2 linked regions of the Notamacropus eugenii genome follow. The protein of the gene in region 1 purifies or fractionates together with the protein of each later gene. This does not show direct contact. Links are inferred from orthologs where the notes say so. Each region holds a gene or a part of one and is shown in the gene's direction. Other genes may lie near its edges.

Region 1 (7,921 bases):
CAATACATGAAACCTGGTGGCAGCTTGGGGAGAGAAGGCATGCAGCATGAGAGCAAAATGGAAGAGTCCAGAAGAGTGAAGCCAAGTGGGAAGTGAAGAGATGTCTGGCCTGGACACCTTCCTTAAATGGAAATTTTGTTAGGAGCTCTCTGTTCATCCCTCCAATCAGAGGGACCCAGGGACAGAGGGTAATGATGACCTCTGAGTATCAGGGCTGATGTGATCTTGCAAGATGATGAGGTGCCAGGGGTCATGATGGAAAAATCCAAAGGAATGTAGCCAGATGGAAAATGAAGAGGATACCTTGAAATACTGAATCATCAAATGGTCATTACATTTAACAGTTACAAACGATGATTTGGGGAAAATGTTCAAACAGCTTTATAGTTGTTCTTCCCAACATTGTTAGCAACATGAGAATAAAATGCGATTAAATTTGCTCTCAAATATTATTAAGGTTGCACTCATTTGAAGTAGTTGAAACTTTTGTAGGATCAACATTTTTCATTATTTAGTTTATTCACTAAGCTGGAAACTGTCATTAGCCAACTCTTTTTTTTAACAAATCCTGAATTTTAGTATGGGTTTTAGAAGCACAATGTTCCCTAATTCCTCCTCAACCCCTGCCTCCCAGAAGTTTGCCTAGTAGATTTATTTCCACCATTCAGGGTTACTAAATGTGTCCTCCATACCTAGAACAGATGGACATGCTTATTTTGCTGTGACTCCTAAATGCTAACTTCTCAATCCTTACATCCTGAATTCTTTAAAAAGAAAAGTTTGTTTTTAATTCCAATAATCTGGAAATGTAAAAGGAACAATTTCTTCCTTTGGGAATTATGATAGGTTTTCTTCAGTGATTGATTATTCAAGATTCAAAATGTTGTTCTATTGGTTTGGGCGCTCCACAATTATTTTTGTTCTTATTCTCTGTGCCTGTTTTCACTTTTTTCATGTTTAAAAATCCTAATAGATCACAATGCCTAAGACTGGCATTTTAGGGAACACAATCTGAAAACATGATTTCCCATTACATTAGTAAGACAGTTAACACTTGAGAGATAACTGTAAAAATTTGATTATATAATTTTAGAAATAATAAATTTTAACCTAGAATGCCTCATTTTTTCTGCTTATACCCATACCTTCATTGTGACTTGGAATTTCTTGCAAAATCTACTATCATTTTTATATGTCTGTCACTCTGAATAGTATCACAAAATCAAACATAGCATAACTGCTCAATTACTATTCATTCTGCAGAAAAGGCAGTTCAGCCAAAAAGACACTCATTGTCATTGATGAATGAGTGTAGTTCCTAGCTGAATATTGGTGTTAATGACTAAAGACAAAAGTGAACAACACTGTCCTTTGTTGGACCACCATTCATTGGTCAGTGATTCCCATGAACAAACTTCTTTGTTGAATTCTATAATAACTTTGGTATACCAGAACATTTTCACAAAATAAAAGCTACAGATATGACCCACTTTTTTGTTTAATCTGTATTAGTTAACATTTTCTCCATCATATCTTTAGTTCAGACTAGTCAGCAAACTACAGCCCACAGGCCAAACTTGTTTTTGTATGGTCAGGAAGCTGAGTAGTTTTTACATTTTTAAATAAAATTTTATTGTATTTTAAATTGTAAAAAGCACTTAGTTCCCTAGGCTGCATAAAAACAGGCAATATTGGATCAGATGTAGCTTGTCAATCCCTGGTCTAGACAATAAACCAAGCCAATATTTGTAGTGTTTGCTGATTTTCATAGTGTAAATAGTCCCACCGTAGTGGATTTCAACCTACCAACTGAGTGCACTGAGTGCAAAGTTGGGAAAAGATGCATGGTAACATACCATCATCTACTATTTCCACTATGCAGGTACAGTAGACATAAATTACATCAAGAGTATACATAATAAATCTGGTAAAAATTGTTAGGAAGTGAAGAGTTTAGAGTGTTTTATCACCTCTTTTTAGTGTAATTTGCTTAATTATAAATTTAAATAATTTTAAATGGTGGTTGTATTTAACAAGTGGCACACAAAAATCCTGAAAATTTAACAACTAGCTCTGCATACTACTGCTTGTATTCCATCTAATAGTTAACAAAAGGAGGCTTACTTAGCCTTAGAAATGAGAAGATATTTAACAAGGATGCATTTTTGGTTCTGTTGGGCGTGGATTCCCCACCTCTATGTTGTCTATGTCCAGAGACCCATGCTGGAGGGAGGAGCTCTTAGCTCCTGATGCCCTGACATTTTTTGTACCTAAGACACAAGGAAGCTATTATATCAGTAGTCTGAGCCATAACCCCCTGAATCAATTAAAGCCACTTTCAATACTTAAAGAAAATCTGCCATTAGGACAGTGACTGATATAATCCTGACCTCAGGGGTGAAAGAATCCTTTGGAAGAAGAAAAAGAAAAAAAAAAAGACTGCAAACCACTAAAAAACAACATGCAGCAAATAAGCAGTGACCCGGGATGGAGTAAAAGAATGAGGAAGAGAGGAGAGACCAGAAATCCCATGCTACATTCACCTCCCCTCTTCAGAACCACCAAGCCCAGGACCTTGACTATGATGCTAAATCTTTGCAATTGATGCTGCCACTGCTTGAGGCAGGATGATTGTTTCCTTGTGCTGGAGCCTACCAATGATTCCTGTGTTTCTGTATCGAACCCAAGTCTATCTTTTGAGCTATAATCTCATGCAGCCCACTGCCTTTGGGACATCTTGAAAGTAGTGATGTATAACAGTGGGGATGAGCAAAAGCAGCACCAGAAACACAGCACAGATTATATATAGTCACCGATCTCATCATGGGTCAGGTCATCCATAGGAAGATCACTAAGAGGTTGCATTACCAGAGACAGGATCCATACCGAGAATTACCCTGTATCACCACATACTTCATCTATCCATCCTTGCTATTGTCCTATATCTCTTCTCCCTTTTCTGCTAAAGTCCTTGATAAAGCCATCTACATGGATGCCTCCACTTCCTTTCCTCTTACTCCTTCTTAACTCTCTGCTGTCTCTTCTGAACTCATGATTCAATGAAATTTCTTTCTCCAAAGTTACCAACGAGCTATTAATTGCCAATTTTAATCAATCCTCATCCTTTTTGATCTTTTCAACCTTTGACATAGTTGATTATCCTCTTCTCAATACTTCCTTCTTTAGATCTGAAGACACTGTTCTCTCCCGGTCTTCTGGATGTTTGCTTCTTGGTCTTCTTGGCTGGATCTTCATCCAGGCAACATCTATCAGCCATTGGTACCCTGCCCTGCCCCGCCCCCCCCCCCCCCCAGCTCTGTCCTGTGCTCTCTTCTCCCTCTATACTATTTCACATTTAATGATCTCATCATCTCTCATGGATTCAATTGTCATTCTGTGAAAATGATTCTCAGATTTATTGATCCAACCCTAACCTCTCTCCTGATCTCTCATCTCTAACTCCACCCCCATCTCTCCTTCTTTAGTCTCTGGACCCTGACTACCTACAGAATGTTTCAAGCTGGATGATTCTTAGACATGTTAAACTCAATATACTGAAGACTGAACTCAATGTTTCCCCAAATTCTTCCCTCTAACTTGATGGAGGACACCATCACCTTCCCAGTCACCCAGAATGACAACCTAAGAGTCCTCCTGGACTCATCACTCTTTCACACCTCCATATCCAGATCCTGTATTATCTGTTTCTGCAGCATCCCTCCTCTGCACTTCCTTCACCCTGACACTGCCAGCACCCTGGTACAGGCTCTCATCAGCACCACACCTGGACTACTGCATAGCTTCATGGATGGTCTCCTTGCCTCGAGTCTCTCCCCACTGAAGTCATCCTCCACTCAGCTCTCAAACTGAGCTCCCTAAAGAACAAGTTTGATAATGCCATCCCTGGCCTGGTTCAAAAAACTCCAATGGCTCCCTCGTTTCCTGGATGCCCTTTCCTACCTTCCAACCTTAAACCTTCCCACCCCCACACCCTGTACTCTGCGATTCGAGGACTTCCTTGCTGCTGTTCCTCACACTAAACACTCCATTTCCTGACTGGGCATTTTCACTGTCTGCCCCCCCAGCTTGGAAGCCCCCTCCCTCCTTGCCTTTGCATCTTGGCTGTCCTGGCTCCTTCAAGGCTGCTAAAATCTCACCTGCAAGAAGCTCTTGCTCATCCCTCTCGGTGCTAACGCTTTCCCTTCGTTCATGGCCTCCAATTTAAGAGGCCACCTATCTGTGAGGCTGCTGTGTGCCTGAGGCCCCTCTCTGGGTCAGATCAGCAGCTCCGGCAGGGTGTGGTTAGGGGCACTCCTGGGCTGCCCGCCAGTGCTCCTGTCTCCTAACATTCTTCTGTTCCACTTTAGAACTTGGAGTTCTAACGCTGAAGAATAATCCATTCCTGAGCAGCATCACTTGCAAGTGTGCAGAGAACTCTCCATCCGTCATCTCCACTGATGCAGGGCTCTGGTTAAGAGGCTGGCCCAGGGTCACAGGAAGGTTCCAGATGGGATTCGAACGCCAAGTCCAAGGCTGGACCCTTCACCCCTGAGTCCAGAGTCTGGATTCTGATTCTCGGCATCCAGGGCTCCCATTAGTATGGGATGGATTTAAAAAACACCAGTTTAAAAATTAAAGTCAGTGAACGACGGGAGGCGGCTGCGCGGTGAAATCGGGGCCAGTTCTGGACTCGCTGCGCCTCGGTCCCCGCAGGCGTGCACCAGCGCAGGAGGCGGCCGAGCCTCGAAGGCCCGGGTTCAAGGGCCGCCTCCTCCGGCCTAGCTGCTGGGGTCCTCGGTCCCACACCCGTGACCCCGGGCGGAGCCGTCCCAGATGACCCCAGGGATGGAGCGGAGCCGGCTGGGGACCCTTCTATCTGATTCGGCTCCCACAGCAGCCCTTCCAAGGCGACGCTATTATGCTCACCCTCGGTTTACAGATGAGGAAACTGAGGCAGGGCAGGGTCATCCCACTCCTAAGGGTGGGAGGCCAGATTGGGGTTCGGGACTTCCTGACCCCAGGCAGAAGGGCAAACAAGGAGTCACGCCCTGGGGGGGGGGGGCCTTCCAGGACCCCACCCCGGCATAGTCGCCCCCCCACCCCCCCGCCAGGAGAAACGACGGGAGGGCGGGGCACGTGGCAACGGCACAGACTTCACACAGGAAGTGAGGTCGGCCCGGGGCGGGGCCTCCGTGCGCGTCCCCGCCGGGCCCCGCCCCCACCGCGGGCGCTAGCGGAAGTGGCGTGCGTCCGCGCTGGGCGTTCAAAGCGGAGCGTTGGAGAGCTAGCGGTAGCCGTCGTCGCGGCGGACGGAGGCAGGGCCGGCGACGACGGGGAGGCAGCGATGGAGCCGGCGGGGAGCGGCGGCTCCTCCTCCGTGGACTCTCAGGCCGCCTTCGTGCTGAGCAACCTGGCCGAGGTGGTGGAGCGCGTCCTCGCCTTCCTGCCTACCAAGGCGCTGCTGCGGGTGGCCGGGTGAGGAGTCCCGGGGGGCGCGGGGAGGGCCGGGCCCCTCCTCCCCTGCAGGCCCACAGGGCTCCGGCCCGGCCGCCGCTCCCCCTCCTCCTGCCCACGGCGGGCGTGCACGACCCCCGCCCGGCTGCACCTGCCCCGCCCCCCACCCGAGCCGCCGCTGTCGCTGCTGCTGCCGCTGCCGCCACCGCGCGTGCGCGCCGGGCTCAACCGCCGCCTCCCCTCCCCCAGCCGCTCGGGGCCCTGGACCCCGAGGAGCAGAGAGCGGGTGGGGGGAGGGGAGAGAAGAGCCGTGCCCCCACGTGACCCGCGGTCCGCGTGCCTGCCGCGCTGTGGGGCCTGGGCCGGGAGGCTTCCCGAGCGCTTTGACGCCCGCCTCCTCCTCCGCCCCAGGGGTCGTGCGTGGGAGCTCTGGCCCTTTTGAACAAAAATTACCGTAACTGGCGTCTGTATACAGTCAGAGCCCTCCTCACTCCCTATTCACAGATGAGGACGTTGAGGCCAGCCTAGGGCAGACCCGGCTCCCCAGGGGGTGGGGGTTTGGAGTGGGAGGAGGCATCCTCTACCCTTACTAAAGCTTCAAGGCGGCCCTTGGGGGTGCGGCGGGGTGACCTCGGGGTCGGAGGACGAGGGTGGGCTAGGTGTCTGGCAGGTTGGGGCGGGGTTCGATGTAGAGGAAAGAGTGAGCTGGAGAACCTCCAGTGAGTAGGTTGGGATCCGAAGTTCTTGAGGAATAATTAGTCACTGTTATTAGAAACATCAGTAGTAGATGTAGATGTATTTTTTGGAGAGCAGAGATCCTGCAGACAACGAAAATAGTGAAGAGCCTATTGCAGTTCTGTTAAGTGAATGCTAAGGAAACTCAAGGAGGTGCTGTCAGTGTTTGTGGAGAGACAGGACCAAGATGCTGTAGTGAAAGAATCTGAAGCCTTGGCATTTGAATGTAGGGAGAAAGGGAAGAGTCAGGGCGGATGCTAAGGTTTCAAGACCTGGTGATTGGGACAGTGCTTGGTGTTTTCATCCATGCACAAAGAGAATTTACCTGGAGAAATGGGGAGAGATTAATACTGTGTGCCAGACAGGGTGGTAAGTGCTTGATAGTTACTTCATTTACTAGAACAAGAAGTAGTTATTGTTATTCCCATTTGACAGACAGTCCACTTTTGTACACTTTAGAGTTAGAAGTACCAGCTTGACACCCGGGTAGATGGAAATTTCCAGCAGCCAGTTGAAAATGTGGTATTGGGATCTGTTTGGAACCTGTTATGATTTTTTTTTCCAGCGTATCCCGCTTATGGAAAGAATGTGTTCGTCGAACCTTGAGGAGCCAGCAGAGCGTGGCCTGGATCTCCACAATGGAGCCTGGGCCCCCAGAGATGCACTCACTGGTCCAAGTGTTAGCCAAGGAGCTTGAGGCAAGTGTTGGTCAGCCAGTAATGAAGCACTGCATTTCCTGTGGTGTCAGTCTTTAATGGACTGAGATGATGGCATCTTCCTTGGGGTGGTTGTGCTTAAATTTTGTCTCATTTCTTCTTGATGTGTTTATTTTCGACATGGTCACTATTAGTTACATAATTAGCCTTTATGGAAATCTTTCCACTAGCTAAACATGAAATACTTATATGCAGATCATTAAAGTAGAAACTAAGGGAGTTCTTAGTGACACATTTCCAATTAGGTTTTATTGGTCTGAACACACATTTTAAAATGACACAATGATGACTTGATAATAGTTTCTGTGGGAATTGGGCAAAAAAAAGTGTAAGAGAATTGACTTTTTAAAGTCCTAAAGCATGGTAAGATGGGGGCATATTAAGATACGGAGGAGCCCAGATCTATCAGAAACACTTCAGTGGGACTCAGAAATGTACCACTTTGAAAAGAAATGAAAAGAAACACCTATGAACTTTCCTCTCCTATCCAACTCTGAAATCTATAGGGGGACCCAAGTTGTGAAGAGACCAATAGAAAAGTTGGGTTGGGTCATGGGTGGAGTTCAGCCAATCCCTGGAAGCTTTAGACTAGTCCATCTAGGCAAGACCTTAGGGACAAAGAGAAATATAGAAAGCCCCTAGGCAAAATTCAGCTTGAGCAGTCCTTGAAGCCTGTGGAAGGAGTCCAGCAACCAGAGAGAAAGACCCTAGTCAAAGTCTGCAGCAGTGTGAGGTCCTAGAGCCCTGTCACAAGAAGCACATCCTTTTTCCAACCCCTTCCCCCAGCCCATCATTAGAGCAGTCTAGAGTCCCTTAAAGGAGGGGCCTAACTATGCCATATATTTGTGGAGTTTTACCAAGTGAAACACCCTTCACCTCCCACCCTTCAACCTAAATACTGAACTAGAGGAGATGAGCAAATGAAAGTAAAAACAACAGATGCCATGGAAGAACTACCTTGGTTTGAGAGACACACATGTAAACCACAAGGAAAATAACACCTCAATAAGCATAAG
Region 2 (7,232 bases), on another chromosome or scaffold:
TGTGAAGATTTCTAAACAGCCTGTGATGCTATACTGAGCTTGCTTTTTTATGTGATTTTGGGAGTCTGGTATTAATTCAATATGAATTTATCCAACTCCCATTTCCATTGCACTTACTTGTAAGGAAACCTCCCAACACATTTGCATGTTAGGTAATGAATATATTATGACAGATTCAGAGCCAGAAAGTCCCTGGGAGGCCACCTAGTCTACCCACCTCATTTTACAGATGAAGAAATTGAGACCATTTTCCCCTCAGTTATGCCTCTGACCCAATCTAGTGCTTCTTCAGTTGTCATGTTACCTCCTCATCTCTATTTCACTATTGATACAGCTGAAATTTCAAGAATTTGTTAGCGCTGTGTCATAATCATAATCAGGAGTGGAACCCAATGTCCTTACCTGACTGCATGTTGTATTCTACTGTGCCTCCTTATTCTTAAGGGGTATTAATCATTTTCAGGTCTCTGATAAATTGCAAATGTTAAGTCAAAAAGTATCAATCCACTTAATGTTTCAAGGTGGATTTTTAATTTACCCCTGTAAATCCATTGTGAAGTTGGTCTGGTATGTGGAATGAACCTTGGATAGGGAGGGAGTCAGAAAAAGTTTGAGACAGTTCTCTTCAGATCCTCATGAACAGCCTAGCAGGAAAGATTGAGCTGTTGATTAAGCCAGATGGAGACACTGAGGGGGCAGTACTTTGCTTTGAAAGCATCAAAGAATGAGGCAGAGCATGATCATTTGGATTTGAACATGTTCAAGGGTCAGCTAATTGGACTAAGTATGTTATCATTTTGAAGGTTTTCATAAGAAATATTTGTAATTATTCATACTTTAATATACCAAAGACCAGTCCAGGAAAAATAAGTTTTGGATTGATGTATAATAAAGAATACTGATTTTTTTTTTATTTGCAGTCAGGGGGATCAGCTTTAAAGAAAAAAATTCCCAAGAAATCTATTTTATTAGATAAAAAATACATAACAAAGAGAAAGACAGTGCAGTATGTTTTAAATATCTTTGTGCCATTTCTTCACTTCCCCTTATACCTTTTACTTAAAGTGTAGTCACTAAAAACTAGAAATTCAAAGCTATTTTTTAAAATTGGAAATGCTATATGCCAGTTGGCTCAATTCATGTACTTCAGCTGGGGATATCTTCCAGAATGTAGTGTAAGGAAAGGCTTTAGGAGGCCTGAAAATAAAAGGCATTGTATAAATAGAAAATTGATAATACACTGCATTGTTTTAAAAACAGCTTTCCTGTGAAGCTAAAAGCCAGTGAAACTGGGCCAAATATTAATTTCCCTTTTGCCAATGTTGTTCAATAGCAGTGGACCTTGTGGGTGGGTACCTATATCTCTGGTGCCCAGTATAGAATAGGCACTCAAGCCCTTGATAGACAAAGAATGTAGGACTTTGAATCAAGAAATCTGGGTCCTGGCCTCACTTAGGTCTACCACTGGGTGATCTAGTTCTAGGAGAAGTCTCTTGCCTGCTCTGGGCCTCAAGTTTATTCATTTGTAAATGAGGGTGGACTTCGGTCTCTCCTGGAACAAATTGATACAAGACTGATACAACTTTAGTTGCCTATCTAATGATAAACATGTGCTTACCCTAAGTTAGGCACAATCCTGGGTACTGGGAATATGAATAGAATAAAATAATGTTTGTTGGAAAGTAGAGTTTACATTTTAATGGAAAAGACAACAAGTACAGGTGAGTGCACTCATAAATATGAAGAGGATACAAGTTAAGTCCTTAAATAAAAGGTTGTTTGGAAGCAGGGCACTAGCAGTTGAGTGTTAGGAGAGGCTTCATGTAGAAGGTGGTTCTTGAGCTGTTTTGAAGGAAAGTGAGAGACGAGATGGCTTATGGTAAAAACAGAAAGCAGCTGGATGGCCAAGGGTGGGAAGGGGAGTAATGTACAATTGGTCTGGAAAACTTGTTTGGAATAAGGTTGTGAAGGGCTTTTAAAAGAGTTGATTGAGAGACAGTAGGGAGCTGAGAGTTGGTAGTGAAGGTAAGTGATTAAGTCAGATCAAAACTTTAAAGAAAATCCCTTTGACCTGCTGAGAGACAACAGGAAGTCTTGAGTTGGTTGAGTAGGAGAGGGTCAAATCACTTTGACTTCTTTGTGTGAGATGGATTGGAGAGACTTTCAGGCTGGGTTGCCAATTAAGGCATTGTTGTTTCTGCAAGTGGTGATGAGGGCCTGAACTAAGGAGGGTAGCTGTGTGAGAGAATGGTTTAGTTCAAGAAATGCTATGGCAGGATTGGCAATTGATTGGTTATATAGGGAGAATGAGAATAAAGATTTAATGACAGTGCTGAGGTTATGAACCAGGAAAGCTGGAAGGATGGTTCCTTCTATTAAAAGTCATGTGTGGAGGAGAGGAGGTTTGGAGTGGGGGAAATGAGTTCAGTATTAGACTTGTTGAATTTGATATATCCAGTTTGAAACTGGTGATCCAGTTGGTGATCAGTATTAGGGGAGAAACAGGCTGAACTTTTAGCTCCAGGAGTCATATTCATAAAGATATTTAAATCCATGACAGGAAAGTGCAAGTTGCATGGGTGCCTAGAAGAAATCTTCAGGGGAGCATTTGAAGTTAGGGAGATGTGATAAGGATGATGAGCTAATAAAGGAGAAGAAATGGGCAGACAGGTAGGAAAACTGTCAAGAATGGTGTCATGAAAACCCCAGAGAGGAATGGGATACTCAACAGTGTCTAATCCAGATCATACAAGATAAGAGTGACTTGGAGAGTGCAATTTTAGTCAGTTGATGAGCTTGGGAAATAGGTGCTATGTTTACAACTGGGGAACCTGAGACAGACAGCTTCAGTGACAGTGACTTGCTCTGGCTGATGTCTGAGTTTGGATTTGAACTCAGGTCTTCCAGAGTCCAAGCTGCTACCTAGCTGCCTCAAAGATTGAGGAATGACAGAACAGAAAGTGAAGGCAACAAACAAATGTAAATAACTTCCTAGAATTTAGCTTAAAGGGAAGCAGGGGGTGATGAGATCGAGGACTAGAACTAGAGAGTATAGTGGGAGCTAGGGAAAGTTTTAATTTTTAGGAATGGGAGAGATCTGGGTATACTTGGAGGCACCAGTAGCTAGGGAAGTCTGGAGGCAGCTGTGGGGAGATTCATCAGGAGGGACTCAAGTTTCTTGGAGAGGACAGTAGGCAATGAGGCTAAGCACACATGAAGGTCTGGCCTTGGCAAGGAGAATCTTTGTCAGTAGGAGATGAGGTCCAGGTGTGTGGAGATGAGAGTGGGAGAAGAGGAAGCTCACAAGGAAAGTTTTCATTTATTCTCAGCAAAGAGGCAAGATCCTCAGCTGGGAAGGGGGATGAGGAGGGATGAGAAGATTTAGAAATAGCGTCAGTGGGGAGATAGGGAGTAAATGAGAATTCAGAAGCAGCATTTGGAGTAGTATGATTGAAAAGAGAAACTGAGGCAGAGTAGTGAGTACAAAGAGCAGTAGACTTGGGAGTCGGAGGACTTGGATTCTGAGCTCATTCCTGCCACTTAATACTTGTATGACCTTGGGGATAGTCATAACCACTGAGTCTTAGTTGGGCCTCAGTTTCCTCATTATGACCTGGGCCTTAAGTCCCATCCCACCCCGGGGAGCCCTCGGCCACCCCGTATTTTCCGTGGGTCTAGAAGGTCTTCCCTTCCCTTTTTCATTTCTCCCTTTTCTTCTCAGGTGCTAAGGCCTGTGCATGCAAATTGAAGAGGTCTCCAACATACAGAGAAGCTCCCATCTCCCCAAGCCCAGCCTGCTGTTGTGCTGGGCATCACGTACTCATTTCTCAGCCTGATTGCAAGGGCGGGGGCTCTACTGAGAGGGACTTGAGTGACAACTGCCAGATCCATTCTTTGCACCTCCAGCTTGCCTTGCAGCCAATAGTGGTTCAATTTCGTGCAACCGATAGGCGGGCCCTAAGGCACCGTTGTCAATCCTAGGCTGTTTAGCCATTGGGTTGGTCGAGAGTGGCTGAATGGTATTTGTGGGGTCCAATGGGAGTGTGGCCGGGCAGCAGGCACGTGGGAGGGCCGGGAGTCCTGCGAGCTAGTCCAATGAGGAGGTGCGGTCTCCCTGGAGGCCTGACCAATCCGTGCCCGAAATCCCTCCTAGCCCACCTCTTCGCTGTGCAAGGGGCAGGGCCTTGCCTTGTTGATCGGCGGAGCGGAGGGGGAGGGGCGGAGCTGTCAGCCGTGGCCAATGGGCGGGCGGGTGTGGGTGCTGGGGCCAATGGCGGCCGGGGCGGTGCGGGCCCTTCGCGGATAGAGCTTCTGCTGCGGTGGGGTCGAGTGCTGGCCGAGCGAGCGAGAGAAGGGGCCCGGCCTGAGCTAAGCAGCCAAAAGCGGCTGGCCCAGCCACCCCGCGACGGACTGACGGAGCTGACGCGCCGGGCGGCGGCCATCAGGTGAGGTCGAGGTGTTGCCTTCGCCTCGGCGGAGGGAGGCCCCAGCTGAGGGAGTCTTGCCCCCCAGCCCCCCAGTCCTGTTCTCTCCGGGCCGCGGCCGCCCCCTCACACCCCCGGGGAGGCGACGCGAGGTGGCGGGCGTGTGGGGCCGAGCCGGTCAAGAAAGGGAGAGCGCGATGGCGGGCCCAGCAGGGACGGAGAGAGCGCGGCGGGGCCGCGGGCCTGCTCCCTGCCGGGGCCGGGGATCAAGCTCTGCCGCCCTAGTGCGTCCCGGGCCCGGCCTGGCTCCTCTCCCCTCCTCCATCGCGGCTCCTCCGCCGCCGCCCTCCCCCGCTCATTGTCTCCAGCGCCCCGCCTGGCCGCTCGGGTCCCCGCGCCGGGGCTGGGGCCGGGGCTGGGGCGTGGAGGTGGGGGCGGGGGCGGTGTCCCCGCTCGGGCCCCGGCCCGGACGGGCTAGCGAGGGGCGGTTAGATGCGTTAACTGCCCCGGCCAATGGGGGGCCCCCTCCCCCTCTCCCCTCCCCCTCCTTTCTCCCGATCCCCAAGCCCTCTCTTCCCAGGCTTCCCCGCCGCCCCCAGGCTCCGCAGCAATCCCCGCCGCCGCGCCGGGCGAGCTGCTGTCCCGGCAGGTCGCCCGCTCGGCCGGGGGAGGCGGGGAACGCGCTGCGCTCGGAGGCCCGGGAGCCTGGTCGGCGGCGCCCGCGGCTGTCACCCGGCCTGCGCCGGTCCGGCCTGGCCCGAGCTGGAGGGGTAGGAGGAGGGGCTGGGACACAATGGGGGCCGCGGTGTCCGGGGAGGGGGGAGGGCGTCGCGCGTGGCCGGTGCGTTCTCTTTCTTTCCACTAAGCCCGAGGGGGAGGGGGCGGGGAGAAGGGAGTTGGGGCTTCGTGGGCCGAATGGTGCCTTTAGCCGGGGTCGCTTTTTGTTTTGAGTAGAGGGTTGGCAGTCCCTCACAAAAGACTCCTCCGGTGACAATCATGGGTGGTTCCAACACATCCTCGCAATTGAGGTGCTATTGAATTTTTTTAAAGCCCGGTAACATTTGGAGAAGTAGGGCCTGACCCCAAAACCGCGGTCGGGAAAGGGGTGTCGCTTGTGTCTGCGACCAAATGGGGGTTACAGAAGTTGCGTCCGTGAAAGTGAGGGTGGGAAGGGCTGATTTCCCGTACACACAATGTATTACTTTTCCAACGTGGACGGATTCGGAAAGGTTGTGCAATTGATACATTGTTAAAATACTTGTAATCTTATGGTGTAGTTTGGGACTGTTGGTCTCTGGGACCGGCGACACAGCTCCCGATGGGATAGACAGGAAAGGTTAGCCAGGCTTCTGCCGGGGTGGAAATTTCAGTGATCCTAGACAGGAGAACTGAGTTGGCTGTTTAAAAATGGTAGTTTGATTTGAGAATCACAGCATGCCGGCTAAGCCTTCTAGCTTGAGATTTAGGAATCCCCGAAGTTGAGTCAATCCTCTGTACTCGTGATAATTGGTTTGAGTTGTTTTTTCGGGGAATCCATAGAGCCCTACTATGAGATTACATGAGGCATCTGAATTTTTCTTCCACATTTTTTATTCTTGTTTATTGGAAATGAGCTAGATAATCCTAGGCTTAACCAAGGGCATGTTGACAGACCAGTGCAAGGCAGTGGATACAAACTAGAAAGATTGGAAAGGATATTTTGAAACTCCATTAAATGTGCATTGAATCATACTGTTAAATTACCACATCAGATTTAAATTTTTTCGTAAAATGGTTATACTGAGTAGATGTACTGCTTATGTTATTTAAAAAGGAAGAAGGATATAGTGAGAAAAGCGTCCAATCTGGAGTCAAGAGGCCCTGGGTTTTGTTGCTCACTCTACCAGATCCAGGGAAAGTCATTCACTTTTTTGCTTTTGTTTCCACATCTATAAAATGAAATTTCTAAGGTCTCTGAAATCTCCATATCTATGATTCTGATTGATTAAGAATAGTAAAAATGATATAAGGTTAGCAGATCCTCTTTTGTGAATATTACCTTGTTTCAGTCGCAGAATAATCCTGTGAGGCAGCTACAGGTATTATCCCCATTTTGCAGATAAAGAAACTGAGAAGTAGTGTTCTCTAGTTTCATGAGGAAAAATAATAGTTTTGCTATGCCTTGGATCATATCTTACTGAATTACTGGGACTTTGAACTTATTTGATTCTCAGACTATGTAGGGTTGTAAAAGCTTTTTTAACTTGGGTAGGACTTGTCAGATCTTGTGTTCTGAATACCCAGAATCTACATATTTTTATATTATATATGTGTGTGTGTGTGTGTATATATATGGATATGTGTGTGTATATATATATGTATGTGTGTATGTGTGTATGTGTCACAGTGAAAGGAGAAATTTGGTAAAAGCTGGATTTAAAAAAATAAAATTAGCCAGAGGAGCCTTCTTACTTTAAACAATTGAATATTTGCCAAGATAGGTAAAGAAATCTTACAGTTTGAAAGGGAAAAAATTGAATAAAAGGAATGGCTGCAAAGACTTTAGGAGTTCACCTTTTTTGTTCCTCTTTGCCAGTCTGGGGAAACCTATTCCTTTGTAGGAAAATATTTTTTACTGCATAAAATACAATATATAGTATTATAAAAGAAACCAATTCCATTGAAACACAGTTATTAAAATAATTTTAAAAACACGTTTATGGACCCAAGTTTAAGAACTCCTGTATTAACCTGTTATCCAGTTATAGAGGTTTAGAGGATCCTGCTTTATTATAAAGGTTGTCCATCTTTAAAGGTTCTATCTTTAGT

The links. Proteins that work in one complex are often made in the same cells at the same time.
Region 2: the proteins of FBXO22 (region 1) and KDM4B purify together in Homo sapiens (affinity purification with western blotting; 3 studies listed by BioGRID, with this or other methods). This does not show direct contact. The link is inferred for Notamacropus eugenii from reciprocal best matches to the Homo sapiens genes FBXO22 and KDM4B.

What each region holds. Positions count from the first base shown.
Region 1 is NC_092872.1:255,804,167-255,812,087, forward strand, and holds the start of FBXO22 (F-box only protein 22), read left to right. Parts: upstream 1-4,903; 5' UTR 4,904-4,918; coding exon 4,919-5,475; intron 5,476-6,754; coding exon 6,755-6,887; intron 6,888-7,921. UniProt on the Homo sapiens protein: Substrate-recognition component of the SCF (SKP1-CUL1-F-box protein)-type E3 ubiquitin ligase complex that is implicated in the control of various cellular processes such as cell cycle control, transcriptional regulation, DNA damage repair, and apoptosis.
Region 2 is NC_092875.1:72,444,488-72,451,719, forward strand, and holds the start of KDM4B (lysine-specific demethylase 4B), read left to right. Parts: upstream 1-4,138; 5' UTR 4,139-4,445; intron 4,446-7,232. UniProt on the Homo sapiens protein: Histone demethylase that specifically demethylates 'Lys-9' of histone H3, thereby playing a role in histone code. Does not demethylate histone H3 'Lys-4', H3 'Lys-27', H3 'Lys-36' nor H4 'Lys-20'.